Tamandua tetradactyla: one gene and its partner. The protein of the gene in region 1 binds, or shares a complex with, the protein of each later gene. Links are inferred from orthologs where the notes say so. Each region holds a gene or a part of one and is shown in the gene's direction. Other genes may lie near its edges. The genes, in order: ALB and FCGRT.

What was found.
Region 2: the proteins of ALB (region 1) and FCGRT are in contact, whole or in part, in a crystal structure (PDB 6QIO), measured with the Homo sapiens proteins. The link is inferred for Tamandua tetradactyla from reciprocal best matches to the Homo sapiens genes ALB and FCGRT. Residues at the interface, in NP_000468.1 of Homo sapiens: Arg105, Glu106, Thr107, Tyr108, Gly109, Glu110, Asp113, Asn133, Asn135, Gln441, Ser443, Pro445, Thr446, Glu449, Leu484, Leu487, His488, Thr491, Pro492, Val493, Tyr521, Val522, Pro523, Lys524, Thr530, Phe531, Thr532, Phe533, His534, Asp536; in NP_001129491.1 of Homo sapiens: Arg65, Glu67, Glu69, Gly72, Ala73, Val75, Trp76, Gln79, Val80, Ser81, Trp82, Trp84, Glu85, Lys86, Thr89, Arg92, Asn172, Lys173, Leu175, Thr176, Leu179, Phe180, His184, Glu188, Arg192, Gly195, Asn196, Trp199, Lys200, Glu201.

The regions. Positions count from the first base shown.
Region 1 is NC_135350.1:56,005,679-56,013,587, reverse strand, and holds the start of ALB (albumin), read left to right. Parts: upstream 1-4,906; 5' UTR 4,907-4,974; coding exon 4,975-5,053; intron 5,054-5,762; coding exon 5,763-5,820; intron 5,821-6,778; coding exon 6,779-6,911; intron 6,912-7,909. UniProt on the Homo sapiens protein: Binds water, Ca(2+), Na(+), K(+), fatty acids, hormones, bilirubin and drugs. Its main function is the regulation of the colloidal osmotic pressure of blood. Major zinc transporter in plasma, typically binds about 80% of all plasma zinc.
Region 2 is NC_135342.1:11,599,597-11,607,451, reverse strand, and holds the start of FCGRT (IgG receptor FcRn large subunit p51), read left to right. Parts: upstream 1-4,640; 5' UTR 4,641-4,690; coding exon of another isoform or gene 4,691-4,692; 5' UTR 4,693-4,734; coding exon 4,735-4,763; intron 4,764-5,841; coding exon 5,842-5,927; intron 5,928-6,638; coding exon 6,639-6,890; intron 6,891-7,083; coding exon 7,084-7,359; intron 7,360-7,855. UniProt on the Homo sapiens protein: Cell surface receptor that transfers passive humoral immunity from the mother to the newborn. Binds to the Fc region of monomeric immunoglobulin gamma and mediates its selective uptake from milk.

The DNA.
Region 1 (7,909 bases):
GAATAAAGATGAAAATTCTTTCTGCAATTAGGAAGACATGCAAAACCATTTTCTATTATCATATCTCTTCTCAGCTCTCTATCTTTTCTCAGTGGTTTCTGTTTTCTTCCTTTTTTTTCTTCTTCATGAAGAAGAAAGTTGTTTGAGAAAGTTGTGTCTTTTCTCAAACAACTGCACATGCTGCTCCCTCTGCTGGGAAGCATAATTTCTTCCCTCATTGCTCATGCTCATTTATAAAAATGTCTTGTCCCCCGGAAAGTCCTCTTAGATTCCAAGGCACATGCTATTGCTAAATGAATACCACTTGAATCAGGAACAGTGTTTCATCACTAAATATTCAAATAATCTACTGAATATTTTGTCAATTTTAGATAAACTTGCTCTACATGGAAGTTTTGAGGCTTTCTATAAGATCAATAATTTTCTTTGGGGCTTATCATAGTCAAATTCCACTTTTCCATCCTTAGCTTTGCTTGTAAACCCAAATAATTGCACTTCTGCTTTTCGTTTCTTTCCTGACATTCTTGCACGAGGTTCTGAGGTCTTCTGGAGGGGGCAAAACTGTTTTTTATTTTCTTTCTGTATTTTGGTCTTTTAGCAAACATTGAGAGGTTGCACATTCTCTACCATACTTATTTCATCAATCTTTGCCTACTCATTCCGTTTCTCCAGGATGCTTTCTTCACAACCAAAAATGTACCCAAAGAATGTAAATTTGAAGCTTCACAGTATGTTAAATTACATAGGTAGCTAAAGAGGTGAAAGCCCATGCCTCTTATCTATGCATGAGATTGCTTTTGGATTTAGAATTTCTCCTCCACTACTTCTCTATTATTAGAGGAGTACCCTGTATTCCATATGTACACCTACATACAACATTGCATTATAATGATCTTTCCACGTACCTTTGTCCCCTGTTAAACTATGGATTGTGTCTTATTAATTTTTCGTATCTTCAGAGCCTAGAAAAAGCTTACTCCACAGCAGGCATTCAATACATTCTGAGCATGAATGAAACACCAAGTGGTATTACTTTTTAAAAAAAGTATGGGACATTACTTTCTGGATTGTTCCTTGTCAGCTAGAATGATGTTCTTAAATAAATAGTGGTGTTTGTTGATGTCAGGGCAATGTTTGCTTTTAGATACTATCATTTCCTGATGTGCATTTTTTTGGCCAATTTTTAGTGTAACTGCTGAGAGAAGTTTGAACTCATCAATATAGCCATTTGTAAGACATTAAATGCTGAGAGGCTAATTTGTATGGTTTTAATGGATCAATATATATCTTGGATAAATGTTAATTTGCAAATTGGATTGTAATATAATCATATGTATTTTATTTAGTAATTTAAATTTTTGTTGCTAAATATTATAGAAAGGCTTCAATTGTGGATCAGGACACTTTCTGGAAAGAGAATGTCATTGGCAACATTATATGTTTCCCTGAAATTAGTTCTTTATTCTATTTAAATGTATTTGTTTTTGTTACCACACTTTATTGTTAAATGAACTAGTTTCGCTGAGAGAATCTTAAACCCACAAATACTATTCTGATGAAATAACTTTATTCTTTTCAATGTCTATTCAATTAAAAACTAATTTTTAACAATTCAAATGCTTATATATCCAATCATATTGTAAAGATAATTTTGAAAACATTTCCATTATATAGTTTATAATAATTAGGCTAGAGATGATTTTCTTTCTCTCAAAAAAATATAGGCCGATGATTTATTTGAAATTTTTCTTAAAAGTAACACTTTTTTGGAAAAAATAATGCATTTTTTATGTAAACCCATATTAGTGGCTTGAAAAAATTGAGAATTCTAAGTCTTAAGTTCCAAGGTGCAGCTAAGGAGAGAGTTTTGTGAAGTTTTAGCTCAAGATTGGCACTCGGAGGATACAAAACATTTAACAAATTAAAGTTTTAGCAAGCATCAAGGGCAAAAATTTTAAACTTGATCCACTGGATTTCAACACAGGAATATTTTAGCTATTCAACCTTTGTTGTTTTATAGGAGGTTAAAAAAGTTAATCTTGTAATTTAAATTTAACCTTATTTTTTAGGTAGTGTCTCTTGAATTACATTTGGTAAGTTTAAAGACTATGAATAGACTAATCAGCACTAAACTCCCAGTAGTGGATTCACTTCAGTTTAATTTCCATCTGTAACTTTCACTGAGAAAAGAGATAAATATTAATGCCAATTTATATTTATAGGCACTATTTGTTGTTAATGTAGATGAAGAGTGAATCAGCATGGGTTGCAGCATTTGCTACTTTTTCCTTGGACTCAAAAAACTTGATAAAAAGATATAGAAAGTGTCATTTTACTTCATAGTTCAGACACATTTATATAGCATTTTCATTTCTTAACTACATTAAGCTGAAATAGATATTGAGTAATGCCTGTGTAGCCATTATATGGCTCAGAAATGAATAAGCTCTCAAATTTGGATCACAATTCTCCCTGACTTAATATATTATTTCGTACTAGTCGGGACCTTTCCTCTATCTCCTTCAATAAGACTGTCCAATTGGAAACATGGAATCACATAATGTTCAAAGTAGAAGGGCTCTTAAAGATAATTAAATCTAACTCCCCTCCACGAAAAAGATCATTTTAAACTAACTTGACCCAAAAGTCATGAAGATAGATAGACAGACAGGTTCTTTAAACTATAAACTCTTAGTTTAAATATCTGCATTTCCTCTCATGCCAAAATCTTTTCATGACAGAATATTTAGGGAAACCAAAGACCGTGTTTTCATTCCTCTCAGAGCAGTATGTACGTGAAGAATTAATATCAGAGGTTTTCAAGAATAATGTAGGAATACTTTGGAAATCCATAAAAATGCAAGTGTTAAGGTGTTTCTTATAAGATGAATTTTAAGCATGCAGGTAGGGTTTTAAGAATTAAATGTTTTATTTCTCAACCACCTACTATTAAAAAAATACATAGCATGCTGTACTGTAAGGAAGTTCTTTTGGATATTTTAAATTTCATAGTTAAAATCTATAGGCTCTTGATTAAATATAAGAAAAGCAATTCAATTTCCTATTTAATCACGATGAATTTGAAATTTTCCTGCATTTATCTTTGTATTACAATATAATATGCAGTGCATACAGACGGAAAGAATAATATATATTTTTCATTTGTTAAAAGAAAAAAATATGCTGATAGTATATGTCTGAGGGATGAAGCCTGAATCTCAGAATTGGCAACAGTTAAATTCAGGGATAAGGACTGCATGCTTAATTGGCTTTCCGTAGGGCTCACACAAGGAAAAGACGAGAGTCGGACACCGGCTGCAAATAAATGAGGCTCACTTTTCTCGGGAGTTGGCATTGTTTATGTGAGAAAGAATTCTTTTCTTGGTCTTCCTTTCCAATATATGTTTTTGGTATTAAACAAATTCTTTTATTCCTTTTCATCTGTGGCCTGAAAGAGAAATCTGGCAATATTAGTCAGTACTCCCTTGAGCCAAATAAAAAATACCCATTTACCTATATGCCTGTCTGTCTGTCTGTCTGTCTATCTATCTATCTATCCATCTATCTATATATCTATCATATCATCTTTTATATATCTCCTTTTCTGTACTTGATTATTTAATTAGTACTCATAACTGAAAATGAAAAAAAAAGGAAAAGAAAATCATAGAAAGTGCATTATTTTTCAATCATGACTGAGTAGGAAAAATAATGCTTCCCTTGAGTATTTATTATTACATGAGCTTATTTGTTTCATGGGAAAATTGGACTGACAATTTTGGTTGATTTGTTTTTTGTTAAGTGAAATAACTGGTTTGATATTAATTACGATTCCATAGTGTTATAGAGAGGCAATTTTCCTATTGGTTGAAACCAGTGTTTCTCCACCTTTAGAACGGCAGGGCAAAGATAAAATAGCCTTTCAGAGGGAGAGATGAGAATTTTGGATTGGGAGCATGAAGACAGAAGTTTGAAAAAGCAGTTTTAAAAATTACCATTGTTTTGAATTGTTTTCAATCACCACGTTAAATTTATTTTGAAATATAAAATAACAAAGAATAATGTAATTTTTCTATTTATTAAAAGGCAGAAAGGAAAAAAGTGCAAAATAGGAATGAAAGGAATATGGTGCTTGGTGAAGAAGCTCTGGGATTCTCATATCTCTAGAGGTGAATCAGGACTCAACCTGCTCCTGTGTTTATTATTATGGCAAAGATCACCATTACTGCCGTTTGGGTTCATTTTATTTCCTATGTCTTAACTGAAAATTCCACAACAGATACCCATCATTTATTTGAGTGTCCTGTGGCAAGACCTGAATCACACATGGGCCAGAGTTGGGATGGAAACGTGGAACTTCTGAATATCTATTCTGGTTGTTATTGCTGCTATGGCTATTTCTCATTTTGCATCTCAGGCAACATCAGCATTTTCAGACAACAATTTTAGATGAAAAAGACATGGAAGAGCTCTAGTGTGTGTGTTTTTAAGTTTTCATTACTTATGGATAAAAATATACTTGGATCTAGTAACAGATGCAATTCAGAACTTAGCTTTTTTGATATATGTTATTTCCAAGCTAAATCACTTAAATTTTTGCAAATATTGGAAACGAAAATGTTCAAATGGGGAATCAAAGATAAAGAATTTGGTAATGAATAATACATACAAATACATACAAATCATTTAGACTCTTACCTAAACTTTGATAAGATGTTTTATATAACTTTAATGAATTGGCAAAGCCTTGTGGAAAAAACAGTTCCAGATGGCAAACATACGCAAGGGATTTAGTTAAACAATTTTTTTTTTTTGCAAGGATGGTATGAATTTTGTAATCAGTTGGGAACCAATGAAATAAAGGTAAGTCTAGTTAATTATCTACAATTATTGGTTAAAGAAGTATATTAGTGTTAATTTCCCTACCTTCGTCCTACCTTTCTCTTCTATCAACTCCCACAAGCCTTTGGCACAATGAAGTGGGTAACCTTTATTTCCCTTCTCTTTCTCTTCAGCTCTGCTTATTCGAAGGGTTTGTTTCGTCGAGATACACGTAAGAATTCTCTTTTTTTAAAATTATTCAACCTTAATTTTATCTTGTCAGTAAAAGAAAGTTCAGGAAACCCTGTATCTTTAAAGACTTAAGGTTTCTTTTAGCATTTACTTTTAGGATATGATGATATTTCATATTTGTGAACCCTTAGGAGGTTTTCTTATTAATATGTTTCCTTTTTTAAGATTTTAGGTGAAAAAAGTGGTAAGAGTTGTTTAGTAAGCAATTTTCTTTTTCATGTGACAAAACCTTAGGCAGGGTGGTTTAAACCTCACAGAATAGAATTGGAGATAGAATTCATAATTCCAAATTCCCAAAGGCCCCATCCGCTGTGCCATGCTTTATAAAATATCAAAACCTGTTTTTAATTTTATAAATAGAACTTGGTTTAACATTTATTTTCACTTCAGACAGTCCTCTCAGTAGTTGTTAATATACACTACAAGAACACTGGACTTTATCCAAGTTTGAGTATGAAACAACAAAAAATTAATGATTTTTTTCAGATATTATCATTGATGATTGAATAATTCTTCAGTTTGAATGCAGAGAACTATTTCACTATCATCTTTAGGAATCAGACTCCAATATTTTGAAGCAAATGAATAGCCTAAAATGAACGTAGTGAAATGTAAAAAGTGGCATGATAATAGTTGTTTTCTCCTGTGTTTAAACAAATCTTGTGTTGTCCTTCCCCCTCCCCCACTAGACAAGAGTGAGATTGCTCATCGGTTCAAGGATTTGGGAGAAGAAAATTTCAGAGGCGTGTAAGTGAAAATATTGGAGAGTCAAGTTTCATGTTTTTCAGAGCATTGGTGACTCCTCTGGAGTCCCTGGGTACCCCTGCCATCAGTGTCCACGCTCTAGAACAGTACTGCCCAGCAGAACTTTCTGTACTGGTGGAAATATTCTATATCAGTGCAGTCGGACATGGTAGCCACTGGCCACATGTGCCTATCAAGCACTTTCAGTATGACAAGTACAACTGAGAAGCAAAATTAAATTTTTTTTTTTTTACATGAGCAGGCACCGGAAATCGAACCCGGGTCCTCTGGCATGGCAGGCAAGTGTCCTTGCCTGCTGAGACACCATGGCCCCAAAATTTAAATTTTATTTAGTTTAAACTAATTTAAAATTTTAAATAGTCACATGTGACTAAGGATTACTGTATGAGACAATCCGACTCTGGAATTCTTATATAACCTGCCTGGTGGAAAGAACTTTAATATAGGGTTCCTTTGGCATTTTAATTAAACCTCCTTTACATATAAGATTTCTCAAGAGCATTTTACTATTTTTTTTAATCTAGTGAAAAATGAGAGAATAGCTTATTTTTTAAAGGTTGATCTCGTCCTATAGTCATTTATAGAATAAATGAGGCATGTATATGTGGTTTCTGTTTTTTGTTTGTTTATATTAAGTAATTCCAAGGGCCTGTGTAAAGCTACTAGTCTTGATGATTCAATCTGTTTAGAATACAGTTTGCTTGCTTGCTCTATGCATGCGTACCTACCGACATGCACACATATTTTTAAACACACCCTCTTCGCCTAGAAAATCAGATATGCCTAGTTAGGTCTCAGATAACACAACGTGAGCTGGCTTTCTGGATAATACTGAGAAAGATGTATAAAATATAGTACATGTACAGATACATGGTCTGCTCCCTAGTATATTTATACTGAATTTACATTATGCTTCGATTTTCTGTGTCTTCTGTTTTAGGACATTGGCTACCTTTTCTCAGTTTCTCCAGAAGACCTCATTTGAAGATCATGTAAAATTAGTGAATGAAGTAACTGAGTTTGCAAAAACATGTGTTGCTGATGAGTCAGCTGAAGATTGTGAGAAGTCACTTGTAAGTACATTCGGATTTTGAAGATTTTTTTTTGCTTTAAAATAATCCTGAGTTTTCTCAATCACTACTAAATAACCAGGTTACTAAGGACATTTTAAAGCAAGATCCAATGCTAGGTATAGACTGATAAGTCTTTGTGTCTTCAATGATAGAGGCCCTCTAGCTATACTCACAGCTTTAAAAACATTTCTTTATTGATACCACACACACAGCCATTATAGTGTATTTCACGGCAAACTGTTTTTTGTAAAAATCTCTTCAAAATTTGACATTTGGTTTCTTTTTATAGAGACTAAAAGTAAGCGCAATCTATGTGTGTTTCTTTTTCTTCAGAAAGTACTCAATTGATTTCTGTGCTAATGTTTTTTTTCCCCTTGGGTGAAATAATAGTATTGCTATAGATTACTCATTTTAGACATCTTTGTATTTTTACAAAGATGTACATAAGAAAAGCAGGATCCTTGGTCATTTAAAAAACTTTGAAATTTTGGTATCCCCAAATAGTTCTTCAATATAAGGAGACAATGTTTCTCTCACCACTTATTCTAAGTAGGTTTCTCTGGGCAAGGGCAATTTCTTGGGTATCACTGGAACCTTTCCCCTTCCTTTCCATCTGTATACCTTCTCCTTCAAAGCAGAATCAATTTTTTAACATCATACAATGGAATGGTTCTAAATATGAATTAAAAAAAAACCCATTTTTAAAAATTAGTGAATTCTATTTAGAGGAGTATGTTTTCCTAGAGATTACAACTACTTTCATAATAACAGTTAATTAGGAAATAATTCATTTAATGGAATATGCTTTGAGGAAAATGTTTAGAATAAAAAAGATATTTTAATGCAATATCTTAACATCTAGTATTTTGTTACTCCTCAGTTTTAAATGGGATGTACTAAACAGTTGGGCCTCACAAAAGGAGCAGATCAGATAAGAGACATCTCTTTCCTCCCTAATGTGAATTCACTTGCTACTTAGAAGGTTATCTTTCTTTGAT
Region 2 (7,855 bases), on another chromosome or scaffold:
CCAGAAACCTGCAACCTCCAGATGGATCCCTGGACCAGATAAGTCCTGAAACCTAGAGGGCCCAGCCTCTCCAGAACATCAGCTAGTTCCATCCCCCTACCCCATATTATCAACAGCCCCTTCCAACATGGAAAAGTTAGAATGGGCATACCAAATACCCCTAAATAGTGGGAGAAAGATCAAAGGTGATGGTGGAGTTAAACAGAGAAGGTAGGGTTTAACAAACAAGTGTGAGTGCTGAATCATTATATTGTATTTCTTTTAGTCTCCACTACTGCAGAGCAGCAGGAAGTAAAAACTTAAAATTGTAGAATTGTAGCCCATACCAAACTCTTAAATCTATTCTACAACTCACTATTATGATGTAGTTTGAAATTTATTGCTCTTAAAAATAGGTTATTTTTCACACACAAAAAAAGGAGGGGTATAATAGAGAAGCTAGGATTTAACAAATGAGTATAACTGCTGAATCGTTATATTGATATTTCCTTTTGTCTCCAGTGTCTTGGAACAGCTAGAAGAAAAAAAAATGAAAAATCATGGAACTGTAACCCATACCAAACTTTAAAATCTATTCTATAACTACTTGTTAAAATGTACTTGGATATTTATTGCTTTCTTATATATATATATATATGTTATATTTCACAATTTAAAAAAGTTAAAAAATAAAAAAAAATCTTTTCCAGTTCTGGTATAGTGCATTTGGGCAGCTTGGAAACTAAAAAAAAAAAAAAAGCACCCAGATCTTACCCAATCAGGGCCCACCCTAATCTACGGTGGCCTCATCCTAATCACATCTTCAAAGATTCCCGTTTCCAAATGAGGGACTGAGCACGTCTCTTTAGCGGAAGGCTGCAGACTTGGTCTTGAACTTGGCCGGCGGGTCTCGCGGCCAGCAGGGGGCGCCGCAGGGCAGGCGAGGGGCGAGGCCGAGCGGGCTCAGCGGCCTGGGGGAGACCAGGGCGGTGGCTCCGGGGGCCGGCTGGGTCCCGCGCTGTGCCGGCGGATCGTACGGAAGAGCCCGCGTTTCCGGGCTGCGGGGCCGATGCTGCCCCGAGCTCTGTGTTGCGTTACGGAGGGTCCCCGCGGACCTAGAGAGGGGCCTGCGGGGCGGAAGTGAAAGCCCCGGGGTGCCGCGATAGGACCCTGGGGACGCCCTGCAGGACCGCGGGGGCGACAGCGGCACCGAAACGGGCCCCTGCGCACGGGCAGGACCCCAGGCACGGAGGGGACCCCCAGTGGGCATCAGAAGGGACTGTGCGGCCTTTCTCTTTTGGAGCAGGAAGGGGGGACGGTAGGGAGACCCCTGAGCACCCCTGGATAAACCTCAAGGCCACAGAGCAGGAAGGAGGGGCGCTGAGGAGGGGGCGTCCGCGCGATGCAAGGGCAGGGCTGCCTAGATGATTGATTGTGGGGGCAGCGTAATGGCTCCCCCAAAAGGTGCCCATGCCCTGATTCTCATAACCTGTGACTGCCCTGGCATGGCAAAAGGGTCTTCAAAGGCTTGAGAAGAGTAAGGATTTGGGGAAGGAGAGATTGTTCTGGATTACCCAGGGGGCCCCATGTAATAAGAGGGCAGCAGGAGGAGGTGTCTGGAAGAGGGGTGAGGGGTAGGGGAGCCCCTGCTTGCTCAGGGCCGCCTCTGGGTCCCGGCAGGGTCCGGAGAGTTTGCAGGTGTACAGGGGTCCCCGCTACAGGGTCCCACGGGCTATGAGGGCAAGACCTGGGGCTCTGAAAGGGGACATCAGAGACAGCAGGACCTCGGGGCGCTTCTCATGGGCCCTTAGGTCCCTTGTGGAGGGGAGGAGGGAGCAGCCCAGGCAGCCGGGTGAGGGTGCAGGCCAGGGGTGACAGCAGGGTCCTAGGGGAGGGCGGGACTTCTTGCTGGGCCCAAGGACATTTTGACAGGTCTTGGAGAGCCTGTCTAATTGTTTCTGTCTGTCTGTCTATCTATCTTTTTCCATCAGTCTGTTTTGTTATCTCTATTTTTCCAAAGCAGTTTGTCTGTCCAACTATCTTTCTGTCTGTTTTGTATCTGTATTTTTCCATGTGTTTTTCTTCCTATATTTCTATCATCTACCTACCCACCTGTCTTCCGATCTGTCTCCCAGTCTGTCTGTGCCATTCTGTCTCTCCCGGCAGGGCTCTGGATAGGCAGGGCCTGGGAAGGCAGGAGCGGTTTGGGGGAGCCTTTTGCTCCTTCCGTTTCACAGCAGAAACTGAAGGGATTAAATGAAGCTGGGAGGCAGGGAGAGGGACCCGAAGGCTGTATCACTGGGTCTCGGGGTGCCGTCCTGGAACTCAAGGAGCCTGGGGTGGGCGCCTGAGATTCGTGGGGACAGGCCCTGAGGCACCCTAGGGCCCCTGGCAGGTGGCTGGCAGGACGGGGGGCCCGTGAGTCCACGCTAGCCGCGGTTACTATAGGGAAGCGACGGAGGAGCCGGTGCTGGTCATCTAAGGGAATGTGGAGATGCTTCTGACAGCCAAAAGGCATTATGTAGTAAGACCATCTATAGGGACATTACGCCAGGGCCCAAGGGGGCGTTGAGAAGAGTCCAGGGTCGTCTGAAAGCGGGACATCTGGGTACATCTTGGCAGTACCTCAGATCTGTACAAGGGGCAACTGAGGGTTAAGGGCTGGCCCTGTGAGCAGCAGGGGGGCCAAGGCGTCTTACAGGGAGTCCCGGTAAATATCACTGCTGGTCCCCGGGGCCAGGGAGCCCAGAGTGGGCATCTCGAGCAGGACCCCGGAGTATTGTCCAAGCTTCCAGGAGAAGTGCATCTGGGTCCTGGGGTTCCTGGCTGGGTTAGCCAGGGGCATGGCAGCCCCCCAGCGTTCTTCAGGGAAGAGCTAAGGATGCTGTCTTAAGATGCGTGGACTTGAAGGAAGGATGCTGCAGAGGGGTGGGCCTCAGCCGATCTTCTAGGAGGCCCCAGAGAGTAACAGAGACGAAAGGAAGTGCCCCAGTAAGTTGAAGGCAGAGAGGGATGACCCAGCACCCCTCTCCCAAAGAACTGAAAACAGGCATTCAGCGAAAAGCACCCACTGGATGCTCACAGCATCCTATTCACAATAGTCAAAAGGTGGAAACAACCTGGATGCCATCAGCGCAGGAAGGCTCAATATTACATAGTCTGTCCCGACGCTGGAGTATTCATTCAGCTGTGAAAAAGAACGAGCTGCCGATACCTGCAGCCACCCCGGAGGACAGCACATTGAGTGACGTAAGTCAGTCGCAAGGAGACAAACGCTGAATGATTTCACTTGTATGAAAGTTCTAGAACAAGTAAATTCATAGGACAGAAAAGTAATAAAGAGGCTCCCAGGGGAGGGGGTGGAGGGAGAGAAGGGGCCATTACTGCTTCTAGGGGACAGAGTTTCTTTTTTCTTTTTTATTATTATTTTTTAAATACCAAAAAACACCAAACACAAACATTCCCATTTTGATTATTCCTTTCTACATATATGTTCAGTAATTCACAGTATCATCACATAGCTGCATATTCATCATCATGATCATTTCTTAGAACATTTGCATCTATTCAGAAAAAGAAATAAAACGAAAACAGAAAAAAAATTCATACATACCATACCCCTTACCCCTTCCTTTCATTGATCATTAGCATTTCTAACTAAATTTATTTTAACATTTGTTCCCCTATTATTTATTTTTATTCCATATGTTCTACTCGTCTGTTGACAAGGTAGATAAAAGGAGCATCAGACACAAGGTTTTCACAATCACACAGTCACATTGTGAAAGCTATATCATTATACAATCATCTTCAAGAAACATGGCTACTGGAACACAGCTCTACATTTTCAGGCACTTCCCTCCAGCCTCTCCATTACATCTTGAATAACAAGGTGATATCTACTTTAATGCATAAGAATAACCTCCAGGATAACCTCTCAACTCTGTTTGGAATCTCTCAGCCACTGACACTTAGTCTCATTTCATTCTTCCCCCTTTTGGTCGAGAAGGTTTTCTCAATCCCTTGGTGCTGAGTCTCAGCTCATTCTAGGAATTCTGTCCTACGTTGCCAGGAAGGTCCACACCCCTGGGAGTCACGGGGGACAGAGTTTCTGGTTTGGTCAAAAATAGTGGTGTTAGTAGCACAACGTTCTAAAAGTAATACAGAGCTGACAAATGGCTAAAATGACAACTTTTCTGTTACCACCGTTTTTTGAAGAAGTGAATGGAAGCATAAGAGCAGGGGCTGGGGGTGGGGGCCGATGGCATCCCTAGGGCGTGGCCAGGGATATTGGCAACATGGGGTGTCAAGGCCTATAGAAGGACGTCAAGGAGAGCTGTAGGAGCGCTTTTAGGGAGCACTTGGGGGAAGGGCCCCAAGGAGGAAATATTGAGGCATCTGGAAAGATTTTATTGCAGAGGGAGCTGGCGGAGGGTTTGGAGGGGAGGGTGGGCACAGAGAGGTCAGAAGGGGGCCTGTGGAGACCTCCGCATTTTGGACTTCTGGTAAGGCTGAGTCCTCGTCTGAGGGTTGTCACGAATTCGCTGGGGGACACCTTCAAAGAGACAGCAACAGAAAGAAAGACCACAAACAACGAGTTTCCAGACAGGCAGAGACAAACACTGGGAGGCTGGGCCGGGCCTGGTTGTGTGCCTCGCAGCTGGGGGGCGGGGTCGGAGGTTCTTGGAGTGGGGAGCAGGCTCCGGACAGGATGTAAGAGAGGAACTGGGGTCTCCAGTCACGGGAGCGGCCAGGATGGCAGGCAGGAAGGGAATGTGGCGGCTGTGAGCAGACTGGGTCCCCCACTGCTGGGTCCCGGGGAGGAGGGGCTCGGTCCCCCACTGCTGGATCTGGGGAGCAGTAGCTGGGGCCCCACTGCTGGGTCCGGGGAGCAGTAGCTGGGGCCCACTGCTGGGTCCGGGGAGGAGTAGCTAGGTTCCACTGCTGGGTGGGGAGGAGTAGCTGGGGCCCACTGCTGGGTCCGGGGAGGAGTAGCTGGGGCCCCACTGCTGGGTCCGGGGAGGAGTAGCTGGGGCCCCACTGCTGGGTCCGGGGAGGAGTAGCTGGGGCCCCACTGCTGGGTCCGGGGAGGAGTAGCTGGGGCCCACTGCTGGGTCCGGGGAGGAGTAGCTGGGGCCCACTGCTGGGTCCGGGGAGGAGTAGCTGGGGCCCCACTGCTGGGTCCGGGGAGCAGTAGCGGGGGCCCACTGCTGGGTCCGGGGAGCAGTAGCTGGGGCCCACTGCTGGGTCCGGGGAGGAGTAGCTAGGTTCCACTGCTGGGTGGGGAGGAGTAGCTGGGGCCCACTGCTGGGTCCGGGGAGGAGTAGCTGGGGCCCACTGCTGGGTCCGGGGAGGAGTAGCTGGGGCCCACTGCTGGGTCCGGGGAGGAGTAGCTGGGGCCCCACTGCTGGGTCCGGGGAGGAGTAGCTGGGCCCCACTGCTGGGTCCGGGGAAAGAGGGCTTGGGACCCCACAGCTGGGTCCGGGGAGGAGTAGCTGGGGCCCCTTCACTGGGCCCGGGAGGGGTTGTGCGTATGGGGGGAGCACTGGGGCTCCACTGGGTCCCGGGGAGGAGGGGCTGGGGGCCCGGACTCCCGGGTCTGAGGGAGGAGCCGCAGGCGGGGCCGAGTTCCTAGAGGGGAATCTCAGCCAATCCAGAGTCTGTCATTAATTAACCAACGCGGATCAAATTACCGGGTGAAAGTTCACGGCGGGAGAGAACTTGCTTTAATTAGGGACCTGTCAGCCTCCCGGCGCAGACCCGAATCCCGAACCTGCGGGCAGCTCCGGGCTGGGCCGAGGACCCGCGGGCGCGGGGGGACGGGGCGGGGGTCGGAGCAGTCACCGCCTCCTCCCGCCCCAGGTCGCCCTCCAGGATGGGGGTTCCCCGGCCTCAGCCCTGGGATCTCGGGCTCCTGCTCCTCCTCCTGCCCGGGACGCTGGGCGCAGGTGAGGGCCGCTCGGGTCTGGGCCGCCGGGTGCGGGCGGCGGGGAGGGGGCGCCCGAGGCCGAGAGGCCAAGGAGGCGAGTCCGCAGCCAGCGCGCACTTCCTCCCCGCGCGGCGCTCTGCTCGCCGCCGTCCCCGCCCGTGGGCGGTGGGACCGGGAAGCACCGGTCCCCCTCTCTCGGGGTCCACGTAGCCCCTTCTCTGGGTCTCTGCCCGCCGCTCCCCCCTCCGTCCCACCCCTTCTCTTTGTTCCCCTCCTCCATGGGTGTGTCCCTCTCTCTGGGTCTGCGTCCCCCTCTCTCTGGGTCTGCATCCCCCTCTCTCTGGGCCTCTGTCCCCCTCTCTCTGGGTCTGCGTCCCCCTCTCCCTGGGTCTCCGTCCCCCTCTCTCTGACTGAGCCTCTGTTCCCAACTTTCCCTGGGTACAGAAAAAAATAGACACCCACTTTAAGTTGACATTCCATGCCCCACACTTATATTGAACAATTAGTTATTGTTTATGTGAATTCAAATTTCGCTAGACGACCTGTCTTTTTATTTGATCAATATGGCAACCCTACCCCCCCCTCTGATTTTTCTCTCCCCTGCTTTGAGTCTTTGTGCCCCCGTTCTGCATCTCTCTCTCTCTCCGTGTCTGGTTTTCTGACTCCCATTCTAGACCCCCCACTCACCCCCACGGGTGCCCCCTTCTCTCTTCCCCCCATCTCTCCGCAGACAGCCATCTCTCCCTCCTGTACCACCTCACCGCCGTGACCGCCCCTGCCCCAGGGACCCCTGCCTTTTGGGTGTCAGGCTGGCTGGGTCCACAGCAGTACCTGAGCTACAGCAGCCTGCGGGCCCAAGCGGAGCCGTGCGGGGCTTGGGTCTGGGAAAGCCAGGTGGCCTGGTATTGGGAGGCAGAGACCACAGACATGAGGGACAAGGAGAAGCTTTTTCTCGATGCCCTGCAAACCTTGGGGACCGGAGGTGAAGCTCAGACTCCTCCATCTGAGGGGGTGGTGGCTGGGGGCTGGGACCCCGGGGTCTGGGGGAGGAGGGGCTGGGGGCCTGGACCCCCAGGTGTGAGGGGGAGGGGCTGGGGCCGGGACCCCCAGGTGTGAGGGGGAGGGGCTGGGGCCGGGACCTTTGGGCCCTTCTCAGCTGTGTTTGGGCACCCCAGGTCCCTACACCCTGCAGGGCCTGCTGGGCTGTGAGTTGGGCCCTGGCAACACCTCAGTGCCCACGGCCAAGTTTGCCCTGAACGGCGAGGAATTCATGAGTTTCGACCTCAAATTGGGCACCTGGTCTGGGGAATGGCCAGAGGCCCTCACCATCAGCAACAGGTGGAATCAGCAGGCTGATGCAGTCAGGAAGGAGAGAACCTTCCTGCTCAACTCCTGTCCCCAGCGGCTCATGGGCCATCTGGAGAGGGGCCGTGGAAACCTGGAGTGGAAGGGTGAGGATGTCCTGAATCTTGCTGCCTTTGTTTCCTTCTCCCTATCCCCACGGCCCCCACTTCAGGCCTCATCCTCTCCCTAGCCGCACCCCTGGCCTCCAGCCTGCCCATGGCTGCCCATTCCCCCACACGCGGCCCCTCCTCTGCTCACAGCCCTCCTGGGGCCCCCCAGCACCCCTGCACAAGATTGCAGCTCCCAGCCTCCATGACCCTCTCCACCTGCCCGTCACCGTCTACATGCCAGCCACACTCCAGACTGAGCCATTCCCCTTTGGAGCCATGTCCTTCTTCTGAGCCTTTGCTCAGGCCGTTCCTTCTGCCTGGAAGGCCCTTCCCGCTTTTCTCCACATGTCCCCTTCTGCGCCCTCCGCAGTGCCCAGCTGCACGCTGCCACCTCTGAGAAGCCCACCCCCAGCTCTGGAGGTCGAGTCAGCTGTTTCCTTCCCAACAAATGTTGGTGGCATGACCTCCCTGTGTCAGACAACGTTATAGGTGC